Linked DNA regions of Neodiprion lecontei. The protein of the gene in region 1 interacts with the protein of each later gene in a pairwise test. Links are inferred from orthologs where the notes say so. Each region holds a gene or a part of one and is shown in the gene's direction. Other genes may lie near its edges.

Region 1 (5,008 bases):
TTACATACAGTTATTGCTGTGGACAGATTAATCCTCATGTGGGTTGCAATATTATCCACATGCATTTTCAATTATGTGCACGTCAAAATCTTTCAGAAATTGTCAGAGTAAAGAAATTTTTCGTTTCAAGTTGTTCTGAAAATAATCTTGGAAGTATAGCCTTCTAAATATTCCTCAAAACCATACCTAAATATCACCTTTCCGTCGAAATACAGAAAACTAAATTCGCGCCATAGGAATTTAGCGCCTAATAGCTGCTGACTTAACATACGTACCGGTACGGCGGGTTTCTGAATATAGGCGCCATCTGCCTTGCAGCTCACCGCCGGTATAGTTCTTGTCTTACCGACAGATTTCTGACAAGTCGGCTGAGCATTACAATTTTCGGTCATTCATTTACGCTTCAGCTACATGCTGTTAGATAGAGTCGCTTATTGACTAGTTTACCGCGGTGACATTTCGGTATAACGTTGCCCCGCGATTATGATATAAACGATGCTTCCCTAATTTGGTTAAAACATAAATACAAGATGTTTCGGTAGGCGAGTCAATTATTCACGTAAATAATCCGATTAACTATTAAAAAGTGCTGATGGATAGTTCTCAGCATTCGATATCAATTTTTCGCCTCAATATGCACCCTATTCAATTATATTTCCACTCACGCAAAGCACAACTTTGGTTTAAATCAAGCTGGTAAAACCAGAAAAAATAGTTCTACTATATTGGGTGAAATTGTTTATTCATCAGAATTTAAACAATGACAGTTCTACGTATTGCGAAACGGAAAACTTCGCTAATTATAAGCGACGTTATTTACGAAACGCTGTTGCAATTTGCAAGGGTTCGAATATTTCATTTTTTGAAGTAATCGGTACATCGTAGTATAATTAACAAAATTATGCCCAATTAGCCTTCGCCTTGCGCGAACGCAATATTATGTCAGTGGTCTTCGTTCTTTAATACACTTATGCACTCTCTGTTTCTCTGCGGTATACTTATATAGAGCATAGGAAAAATATAACTGGTTTGTGTTACGCTAAGCTTTGCACGTGCAACAGCGAATGTGAAGATTTTTTAAATATTGATAAACGAAGCGGTGAATGCGAGTGGAATGGTGATAAAAGGTATAGTGTAATTTTATTTTTATAAGTAATCATTTTGAATTCACATCAAATGGTAAAAAAATCGGCCCCTTATAAAGCGAGAACTAACGTTTCAATTATAAGCGCCATAGGCAGAGCAATGAATTTATATTGGCTATTGTCTTACGTTTCATTACGTGCGCCATTCGGCGATTTAATGTAAAGGTAAACATCGTCGACAGTCATATTGCGCACGATTCAAACGAGAAAGTTTCAACCTCATTTTGAAGCGTTCTAATTATAATAATACGCATATAGAACCAGCTTTGCACGAATGAAACTCAACTCGGTGTTGACAAATGAAAAAACGAAAAATACCGTCATCAATTCTATATCTTTATTGGCCCCTCTGGGACTTTACAATTTCCCTGAATCTTAAACTCTTTTACGATCTATATTTTCAATTCTAACTTAACAGCTTTAATATTTCCAGTACCACAATGATTGACTAAACAAAAAAAGAAGATCATAAAATATTTTTAGCGAATAATATGACCGGAAAAAAACGAGAATATAAACACAAATAGAAATGAAAATGAAAAGAATACGTTGACCTGCTTGGGAAAATTAACCGGATACACAAAGATTTTTGCACGTGAAAAATGTAACGAGCACGGAAGAGAAGGGCGGGAATGTTGTCTCTTGATACCTTTCGAGGTAATCGTAAGAGTTGATGTCGGATCGAAAGATATCTACGTATAGGTATGTATAATCGGGTAATCTTTTCGCGGAGGAACAGGAGAGCGGTCGTCAGGGAGGCGATGAGAGCCCCTCCCGTTACTCGCGTCGTGTTTCTCCTGACGGTCGGCATGGTAACGTCGAATCATCTGCCCCCCACTCCTCGCTCCAACATTCTCTTCCCCTCCTTGATTCAGTCGCCCTCCGAACGTCGGAGGAGCAGGATTGATACGGTCGTCGCGTAGGCTTCTTCTCCTCGTCCCTGTGAAAAAAAATACAACCTTACTTCAAGCTGAAGTGATTGTGTCTCTACCGGTGGCTTATCTCCCTGTCCGAACTGTGCCAAGTGGTTTATCATGAGGGACATGGCTGGTAAAATGGCCGAATTAAAGTTTGAAGCACCCCTGGCTCGCTTCGAAGAGGAGGAGACGTCCAGCCTCAAGAATATCAACTTGCTGACAGGTGCGGAATGGTCAATTTTATTTTTTCTCTCCTGCCTCGACCCTTTTCATTCCCCCCCTCCCCCCTCCTCCGCGTGTAAAGCGGCTGCTGACTGAGCTGAGCGGGTATTTGTTATTGTTCGCACTTTGCGTTGTTGGTTTGTGCTGAAGAATGAACTCCGTTTCATATGAGGCGGTAAAAAATCTCCTCGCGATCGGCTTTTGTTTCTTTATTTCAATCGCTTGAAGCTAGCCGCGAATCGCTATCCCCTCGACATAACATTCCCCGAAATGGACCGAAGTATTTATGAACAGCGACGATGCTGGTAGCTGGAATGAGGAAAGAAAGAGTGGAGAGAATGTTGAAAAGGATATCTTTTCGTCGCGAGAAAAGGATAAACGCGGTAGGGATGCGCCAAGTGATTCGGGGTCGAGAAGGGCCGAGATTCGAGCACACATCCACCTTTCGGAAAACCTTTTTAAAACAAAGTATGATCGGTCCGTGCCGCAGGTGCCGGCAGGTTGGCAGCGGCTACCTTGAGGCGCGCGATTTCGGTGAATTTCTTTAACATTTTTACGTTATGGTTACCCGCAGATGTGATCAGGGAGAATTTTACCGAATTTAAATACGATCTTCTTACGTTTATTTGCTTACTTTGTTATTTTTATTGTTGGACGAATACCTCCGTGAACTGACGGAGAAAAGTAACTAGTAGACGTGAAGATTTCACGAGACTGAAGTTAGCAACGTTGGTTAACGTATGAAAAACAAAACATTGCAAAGAAAATCTGTGGTGTCTGATGAGAATGACTTGAAATAGTTTCATTGCGGCTTACATGCGAACTGAATTTCGGAGAATTTTAAAATTGCGAAATCGCAATTTTTCGTTATAGAAAACGCGACGTCACATTAAGGTTACGAATTCGACCGCCTCGTGAAGTTTTCTGAACACACCCGATGGACACAAATTTGGGAAACGTCGAAATCCTTGGGAAAGTTGGAAAAAAATATGGAGATCAAAGCGAGGAATTCATTTTAATAATAATAATGATATTTATTGCGTTAGTAGGACAATTCCTTCTTATACACATAAGACAAGCAAACAGAACGAACCAACGGTCGCAATGATAAGATGCGGAAATATACACATAGAAGAATAGCATGATAGATAGGAAAGTTGAAAATAGAATAATAAAGTAGAACTGAAGACAAAAATATAATACGAAATTAAAAATAAATAAAACGACAGTAAAATGAATAAGATGTGCAAAATAAATGAAGTAAATAATATTGGCAAAAGTACGAGTACAATAAATAAATGAAATAAATACTGTGTATAGCGTAGAAAATTAATTATCTAGAAATTAAAGACATCAAATTCATAATTGCATCAAAGTATTTTTTATTACTACATCAATTGCGGAAGAATACAGTTTCCACTTTTGCTTCTATATAAAAAAGAATCAGAGAATAACCTGTGATAAAATTTTCGTTCCAGATTTTGTCGATCCACACCCTGTCAACTGAAACTTTTTATGTGAAATAATTTGCGAAACTCCGAGGTTTCGAATTATCTTGTTATACATGACCTGCATCCATAGTCAACACCATCCACTTATCCGCTGCTTATCTTACAGCCACGTAAATTGAAAAAAATTTCATGTACACGATACACAAATTCTATGGTAATTTATTCGTCCACGTTTGTTAATCACTGCGTCCGCTTACATCGTGTCACCGCAACAGCTATTTTTCACTTCTTCACTACAAATAGAGCGAAATTATCGGTTATATATCTACACACACGTGTACACCTAGTTACACCAGCCCGATGAAGACAAAGAGATGAGTCGCCTTTTTGATTGTATGTACCGGACAGCTGAAAAATGAGGCAATTGAAGGGGGCGACTCATTCATTCCCCGCAGCAATTGCAGCAGCTGCAGCAGCAGCAGTAGCAACACCACTAGAAGCAGTTTAAAAAAGAATGAGAAAAATTTCGTTACAATTAACGGTACTTCGAAATTGCGAGCATGATCAAAAATAACAGTAACGCACGATAACTTTTCTAGCTACAGCTGAAAAACTAATTTTCATTTTCGTTTGGTTATGAATAAAAAAAAAAAAAAAAAAAAAAAAATAGGTAGATACTGTGCAGCAGTAACCTGCACACACCTACGAATATCTCTCGTCGTATGTCACACTAAAGTAAAACTAAAGAGCTTGACCTATTCATAGCCACTATTGTGGGTCACGGTGAGGAGAGCTGAAACTGGGGATGTAAATCTTATAGTATATCCGTTGAATACACGCGCCTGTGAATGGAACCGCGTATTTTTTCTCGGCCGCCTTCCCTCGGGTTATCGCCGCTTATCGCAGGGCAAACGACTACGCATCCTCTCCGGTAGTCTAGCGTGTAGATATAAGGTACGTACGTACTTACGCATGCTGCCTCTGCATGCAGGCTGCAGCTTAAATGCCGCCGCCGCCTGTTTGTGAGAACCGGACGGCGCGAGCCGAACACATTAACCTTTCGTTCCTGCTCCCGTTTAATCTACGCCTTTAGTGTCAACGCCTACTAATCGTCGTCGTAGCGATAAACCCTTCCTAATGTAAATCCCCAACTTGTCAGGCATGCCCTGCCGTTAAATATAATATAGAGATGAGATCAAGACTTCAATGAGAAGACAGATTCATTGAATTCGTGTGTAGAATATGTGTAATAATGCACGACGGTCAACGACGA
Region 2 (7,462 bases), on another chromosome or scaffold:
AGCCCACCACTTAAACGACATCGGTAAATTCAAACGTAGATTATTAGATCAGTCACGAAACACAATTCGATCTCGCGAATGTCGAGTAAGCGATGGGTACTTGTCGCGATTCTCATTCCACTTTTAGCAACGTGCAAAATTTCTAACTTTAAGCAGGCTACGGTAAATTAAAAGGCGAAAAACAAAATTATTCGCCAAAGTCAAGCACGTTGCGAACGTGAATGAGTATGTTCATGCAGCTAAGAAATCGAAGATTTGTGTAACAATTGTCACCGCCACGCCACGTGACAAGAGGAATCCCAGGAAAATACCCGTAACCTAACACATGCAAACTCACCAACGTTGCTGAGAAATGAAAAAGTTACTCCGAAGTCTCTGCTGTGAAAAACAAAATAGAACACTTGAATTAATACTGTAAATTGGCTTTCAGTTTTCAAATTAATAATTACTGTTGTCTAGTTTCATATATATGCATTGCATGTTATGCAAGAACAAAAGTTCGATTTTAAATGTACCACCTTGGATTATCAATCAATAATTAAAATAAGCATTGTTACCTCGACTCTGGGCTGCTCCACGCTTTTACACGTAGTATTTCTTGTAGCATCTCAGGGTTATTGGTGAAGCGACGCACTTTTTACACAATACAGATTTTCACTAATCTCTTACAATCCACAAAATCAGCACCGCAATAGCACTAGCACTCGATACTATACTCACTTTTTGGGCTGTAGCTGTCTGTTTGAACCGACTGAATAAACTTGCTAACAATGCAATTGCGCATTTACCGAAAATCAGCGAAAAAAATAATAAAATTGACACTCCACGCATAGAGACAAATATAGACATCACTGAAATCTGAAGTTACACAAAACAATGAAAATTCGTACACGAAATTCACCTTCAATGTTCGCACGATGTTTTTATTTCGATAACTCGGTTTTTCTTCAGGCTACACGCTGCTCCTCGTCTATTATTCACCGATGAGTATGGTGGAAATACACTGATCGAACAACGTGACACCACCTGAACAACGCGGTCTGAATGTTGAACCGATACTGACAGCACGCAATTTCGCTCCGACTGCTCGGAAACGACTGATGCTGCACGGCGCTCAGAGGAAACTTTAAATCAGTTCTCTGAAGAACGGAAGATAATAATTCTCCCGCCCTCTTTGTCGCTCTTCACATGGAGTGGGGGTAGCGGCACGCGCCTGCCTAGCTGTTTTTCTCCTCTGTAGAATTATTATCTGCTGTCCTTTAAAGAACCGATTCGAATCCGTTCACGGAACGCTTACACCGTTGCTTACGCTCTATTGTATATATCTGTATGGTCTCGGCGGCCGGTTGAAGACACCGCGTAAGCTACGCACAACGCGATCGAATGTTTAGAGCATTGCCGTAACAATATGCGTCGTCACTTCAAATGCGTATTTTACGAATCGACGCAGTGTGTTTAAAGCATAGACTTTTCAAGATAGACTGAGCGCTCTCATCAGCCACTTGAAGCAAACATTTAAAGGACAGAAATATGCCGGGAGTACTGCCTTCTCTCTCTGACGATATTTGTGGAGGGGATCGAGGCGGTAGAGGAGAATGCGGCGAAATTATGCGCCTATGTCCATAGCTGTTCGACTTCCACTGTTCCGTTGTCTCCCATCATGACACCGATTGTAGAGAGAGAGCAGTACTCCCGGTATATCTCTGTCCTTTATATGTAACTGTCAGTGCCTCTTGTGGGAGCGCTCAGTCTATCTTTATAAGTCTATAGTTTAAAGCACGGAGGTTTATAGGTTACGATCACCACCCTTTTTTTTTGTACATTTTATAGCGAGAGTTTCACTTTTTTCCCTAAAAGGCGCTCAAATCGCATGCAGACGATTCTTCTTAGTTCACCTCAAAACTGTGGACAAGTTTTATTGCAGAGTGTTGTCGCGATTGTCCCATTCCTACTACTCCGTGGTATACGTCTATTGTAGACCGAGCTGAAGATCGCCCATCTCAGTTCATCCTTTATTTTTATACAGCCATGAACCTCTTCCTGTCTTGTTTCACATTTCATGACTCATAGGATCGTCTGTCCCCGCTGCTGCCTGCCAATTTTCGTGTTTCCGAATAAATGGCGAACACTTTGATGTGCGGAAGTTGATTGACCGTAAAGTCAATATTAAATTAATGAAACCCGTTAAACGTTAATTACAAATACTCCCAGTAATTCGAGTGAAAATCAACTTCCAATCGGACATCGACGAAATAATAAACGAATAGTAAATCCCACTAAGTGACATTCCTAATAAGTAATAAATGCGTTGAATCAATACAGACGGACGTCAGAGAACAGCTCCACACTTATTACGAATCATCGTAAGCCCTGATAATTTAGCGAGAATATAATCCCGGCGATGTCTACGTCGATGATGTCCGGGGCAAAATTACAAGATGACATGAGTAGCATACCGTTGGCAGATGACGACCCTCAGGGTGGGTATTGCACATAAGAACATGCAAATGTCCACTGTGTGACCTACATAATCGAGAATAACATTTGTGCACGTATTTAATATCGTTCAATCGATTCCCCAACAATCTTTCATTGAATTATCCTATTTCAATTGGAGAATTTACTTTTTAGTCATCATTCCTGAGGAGGAAGCTCCCGACAACATGTCCCATGTTTCGGATGTTCTTGTACATGGTCGGAGCATGGACTCCATCCCTTCAACATTCACCAATGGCAGCAGCAGCCCTAACAGTAATACATCGTTATGTTTTTTTATCGAATGAATCATATAGTGCAATTGTTATCAACTTTTCCTGTACAGATATTAATTTTCTGTACTATTACACCATTTAAGATTCACAGAGTATTCATATGAACCTGAAGCTAGCAGCCAGAGTTGGTAGCCAAATGTATTGAACTTTTTGGAAATAGAATAATGCAGTTCAGTTTTAGCATCATAATTCTATTAAAGTATTCGGGATACGAGATATGTCTCAAAATTTTGATTTTCGGATTTCATTACCTTATTTAGATGAATGTTAGAACATTTGGCTGCTAATTCCAGCTGTTACTTTCAGCCTCGTGTTACCCAGTGCACAGATGAATGTTCTAAAATTTGAGAAAACTTACTATTAGTATGAAAATATCCTTTTGTCTTACTCACATTCTAGGGAATTTCTTAAATGACATTTCCTTACTTTTTAGTTTTAACTAAGTTGGAGTTTGATTCCTTATGTCGTGAAATCATTAATTATCATGCCCAGATTGTTACCAATAATCCTGCCAGTAAAATCGCCAAAAGTAGTTTTGATCACGTTTTTGCAGAATGTTACTGTAATTCGATTTTGAAGTAAAGGTCTTGATATTCTTACCCTTTTGGTTAATTTACCATTATCAAAGAAATGACAGCTCAAACTTTGACAAGAACTGTATTTCGGTGAGATATTTTTGTATAACAGTAAATTAACTGAAAGGGTAAATGAGCGAATTAATGCTTCCATTCAATTACCCTTTTAGTTAATTTACCATTATGAAAAAATATGTCACCGAAATGCAGTTCTTTTCAAAGTTCGAGTTTTAAATGTAAATGTTACTTTTCAAATGTGGTACAGGAGATAAAAATAAATAGTAATCCTGTAGCTTTAGGACGAGAAAACCGACATTTGTCTCTGAATTTTACCATTTGTACAAAATTCCTATCATAAAACATTCAGTAAATAATTGAATTTTCACTCAAGAACCCTTAAAAATATCAAAGAATTTATATCTGTTTTTCCTGATTGCAATTTCTATGTATTTGTATTTAAATCTTCGTACAATTAAGTTAATTCATTTTTGATGTATGTTAATTTACCCAGTGACTAAGATACTTTCTTTTATCTCACTGGATCAGTTGGTAATATTTCAAACGCTCCAAATTGTGAGAAGATGGTTCGTAATCTTTCCGTTACTGCCAATTATTACAAAACAGTGTTTTACAAGAGAATGAGTATTATTATCTAGATAAACACAGAATTATTCATATAAAAATTTATTTAGATAAGATGAAAGATAGTTTCTGATGCAACTATTTCCATACAGGATGAAATTTCCCAACTTTTATCTAGATAATCAAAAAGATGACTATATGAACAGGAGCTTCCTAATCTATTGAGAAAAGAGAATTGTTGATTTCATAATATATTTCTATGGGTGTGGTATAAAAAAATGTTGCTGCAAATAATTTTTTAGTCTTCTTTCTCAGTGATCGTAGATTACGAAGTTTTTTTTTTTTTTTTCAGAAAGACGTTTCCATTGACCTACATGTTTTTGCATAATAACATTAGAGTCTTGACTCCGAATAGTGTTGCCTTTGTTTCCATATAAACAGTTTAACTCATCGTTATATCATGCAAAAATGAAGATGAACAGTAAATTCATCTATATGAAAATGAAATATATGGTCAATCTATCTAAGCTGGTTATTTCAAATAAAATAATCCAGATAATGTACAAAAAATGATATCTTACTATGTACAATTAGTCAGTTTACCTTCAATAACTTTTATTTCTTTGTTTTCCTCGAATTAAAATGATTGTCATTGTCATTTGGCTTTGCAGGAATATAATTTTTGTAAGATATTGATTAATAATTAGATATCCACCTTAAAATTGTCCCGTAAAAAAGCTATAACTTTCATCTAAATTTTTATGAACGTCTTTTGTATCTGTTGATAAGATTTGCCTTTGCGTATTGTTTATATGTAGTTTATCTAAATTTTGCCTAGGCTTGGATCCAGACATTAGCCCAGATGAACAAGAAGAAAAAGCCAGATTGATTGCTCAGGTCTTGGAATTGCAGAATACTCTGGACGGTTCGTACTATTCCATAGATATCATTACTTCAGATTAATGCTTTCATTAGATTAACGTTTTGCTGAATATAAATCCTAATTGCATCATAATGCTCTTTAGAATATTTATTCAAAATATCATCGCGTAGTTCAATATTGGCTGTTGGTGTCTAAAAATCGTCCTGTACAACCACTCTTAAATTGAATACGCAGTGATTGTTCTGAAGAATAATTATGGAGGAAAAATAAATGGATTTACCTTAAGCAATATTAATTATACAAAATGGATTACATACATTCCAACGTGTTCAATTGTTTTTACAGATTTATCCCAAAGAGTAGACAGTGTCAAAGAAGAAAACTTGAAGTTGCGAAGTGAAAATCAGGTCCTTGGTCAGTATATTGAAAACTTGATGTCAGCTTCGAGCGTTTTTCAATCCACAAGTCCAAAATCGAAAAAGAAGTGAATTGTGTATAATTATTCCAACCATGAAAAAGAATTTTAATGCTATATTCGCTCCCCTGGGCCAGTACGTATAATTTGATTTTATATTTCAATGATATTTTCGGTCCAAAAGTGTACGTGAGACGTATGTATGCGTACACTAGCAAACTTTCATGTTACGCACAGTTCTAGCAGTTATAATTTCTATAGATCTGATTCTAGTGCATTTCCAAAAGACCATCACATTTGTAGTATGGCTTTATCATAGTACTCATAATATTATGAATAACTGACTGTACTCAGTTTAATAAGATAAATTTTGCCTTATCAATTATCGACATATTGTATGATTTTACTTTGCAAAGTTCGCACTATTTATTGTAAATATAAAAGCGAACGAAACAATTGTTGAGTGAGACAGGCTACATCTGTTTAATAAATGTTGACTTAGACTATTGAGTTTACTAGTCTGTTCATACTTTAGGAAAGGTGGTGAAATTGAACCAGCAAAGAAAGAGAAGGGAAAAGACCCCATTCATTAAATAAATTTATTTGCGATTCGATTTTCAGCATACATGTGGGTACATGTGTATGTGGTATATGTACTAATTTAATCTGCACATGACAGAAAATGTTTTAGTATTGCCATTATACAGGGCTGGAGCTTCAAGAATAACGTGCTTTTAACTTTGACACATTTATTATAAAAGAGTTTAATTCACACTTTATACATTTTTACCACAGTGTGCTTAAAAGCTTAAACACACACACACACACATATACATACATATATATAATATATATTTAATATTTCAATATATTGAAAAGCAAACTAATATTCACATAAATGATTCTACATTACGTACCTATATTGTGTTGGGCATTTAATATCACTTTTGGGCAAATAATTTAATCGTAATTTAGGTTGAGTGTATACAAACTGATAATGAAAAAGAGACAATGAAAATGTGAATATTATTCGGTCTCTCGACTTATTTGAACTGAGTGATATAGTTGTTAATTATAGCAACAGCAATACTTTTAAGTGGATCTATCAATTTCATTTATATTGTAAGATTCTGATTTTCAGACTATCATTTTCCATGTACGCCTGTTTTCTTGCCTTGTAACATATTAAATATATGATATTATTCGAGCATAATTTATGCGCAACCTTACATGACATAAGAGAGTCTATTACATACTGTAAATGTTTACTAGCATAGGTCAAACGTATAATTATATTCTTTTAGTGATAATATGAATAATCATCGCTCAGTTTCAAATGATGATAATTATCACATCATTTACGCATATTTTAATGACCAAAAAAGAGTGAAATAGATGAAAATCCTAAAGCTGTGTAGCAATTATCCAACGAAACAAAATCAAGGTTTTCAAATGGAGCTTTGCTTGATGGATTTCATGGCAGATTTTTCATCGCTGTATTATTTATGTAGATGTACAAAATATGAAAATCAATTATACCTATACAAAGTGACTTGAAATAATTGTTACATACCAAGTCACACGACAAATTAAAAGTCCATGTCACCAGCAGAGTATGCGAAAAGAAAAGAATTTTACATCAAACGAATACCCAGAAAAAGGAAGAAAAATGTTTAGCGATTGTAATGAAAACATCAGTGAATAAATTCGTTGCAAAAAATACCAAAGTTACTAGTTTATTAGAAAATTATTATTGCTGTCCTCAGGCCCAAAGTAATCATTCATTCCAGCATTCATCAATCTCATCATAGAATGGACTTTTCTATAAATTTTGATGAAAATGTGAAAATACATTGCTATGTGAACTCCATTTTGTTTCTTTTTTTTTTTTTTTCTCAATAAAATTTTTCAGATTGATAATTGACGGATTTTGGGTAAAAAAATGCGGTAACTGTTTAAAAATTAGTAGCTGTAACGATACACCCCTTAATATTAATATTAAGGGCTCAAACTTTCAGGATAATTTTTTTTAATGTTTTTACAGTAACATTAAAAAAAAAAATTCTTCGTTTTTTTTGGCCCAGTCTAATAGACACTCTATACTCCTTCCAAAGTAATTATACTTGTAGTTTACTATTGATCGTACAATAACATTTAAATTCATATGAGAATACCCGATATCAGATAGGTATACATATTACTAATTTTCGGTCTGTAAAATTAATTTTATATCCGT

What was found. The genes of interacting proteins can lie anywhere in the genome.
Region 2: the proteins of fasciculation and elongation protein zeta-2 (region 1) and short coiled-coil protein B interact in binary tests that used the Homo sapiens proteins (3 or more experiments, as listed by UniProt). The link is inferred for Neodiprion lecontei from reciprocal best matches to the Homo sapiens genes FEZ2 and SCOC.

The regions. Positions count from the first base shown.
Region 1 is NC_060265.1:20,723,396-20,728,403, forward strand, and holds the start of fasciculation and elongation protein zeta-2, read left to right. Parts: upstream 1-2,001; 5' UTR 2,002-2,179; coding exon 2,180-2,285; intron 2,286-5,008. UniProt on the Homo sapiens protein: Involved in axonal outgrowth and fasciculation.
Region 2 is NC_060266.1:18,747,918-18,755,379, forward strand, and holds short coiled-coil protein B, read left to right. Parts: upstream 1-2,015; 5' UTR 2,016-2,401; coding exon 2,402-2,480; intron 2,481-2,631; coding exon 2,632-2,751; intron 2,752-4,766; coding exon 4,767-4,853; intron 4,854-5,156; coding exon 5,157-5,299; 3' UTR 5,300-6,948; downstream 6,949-7,462. UniProt on the Homo sapiens protein: Positive regulator of amino acid starvation-induced autophagy.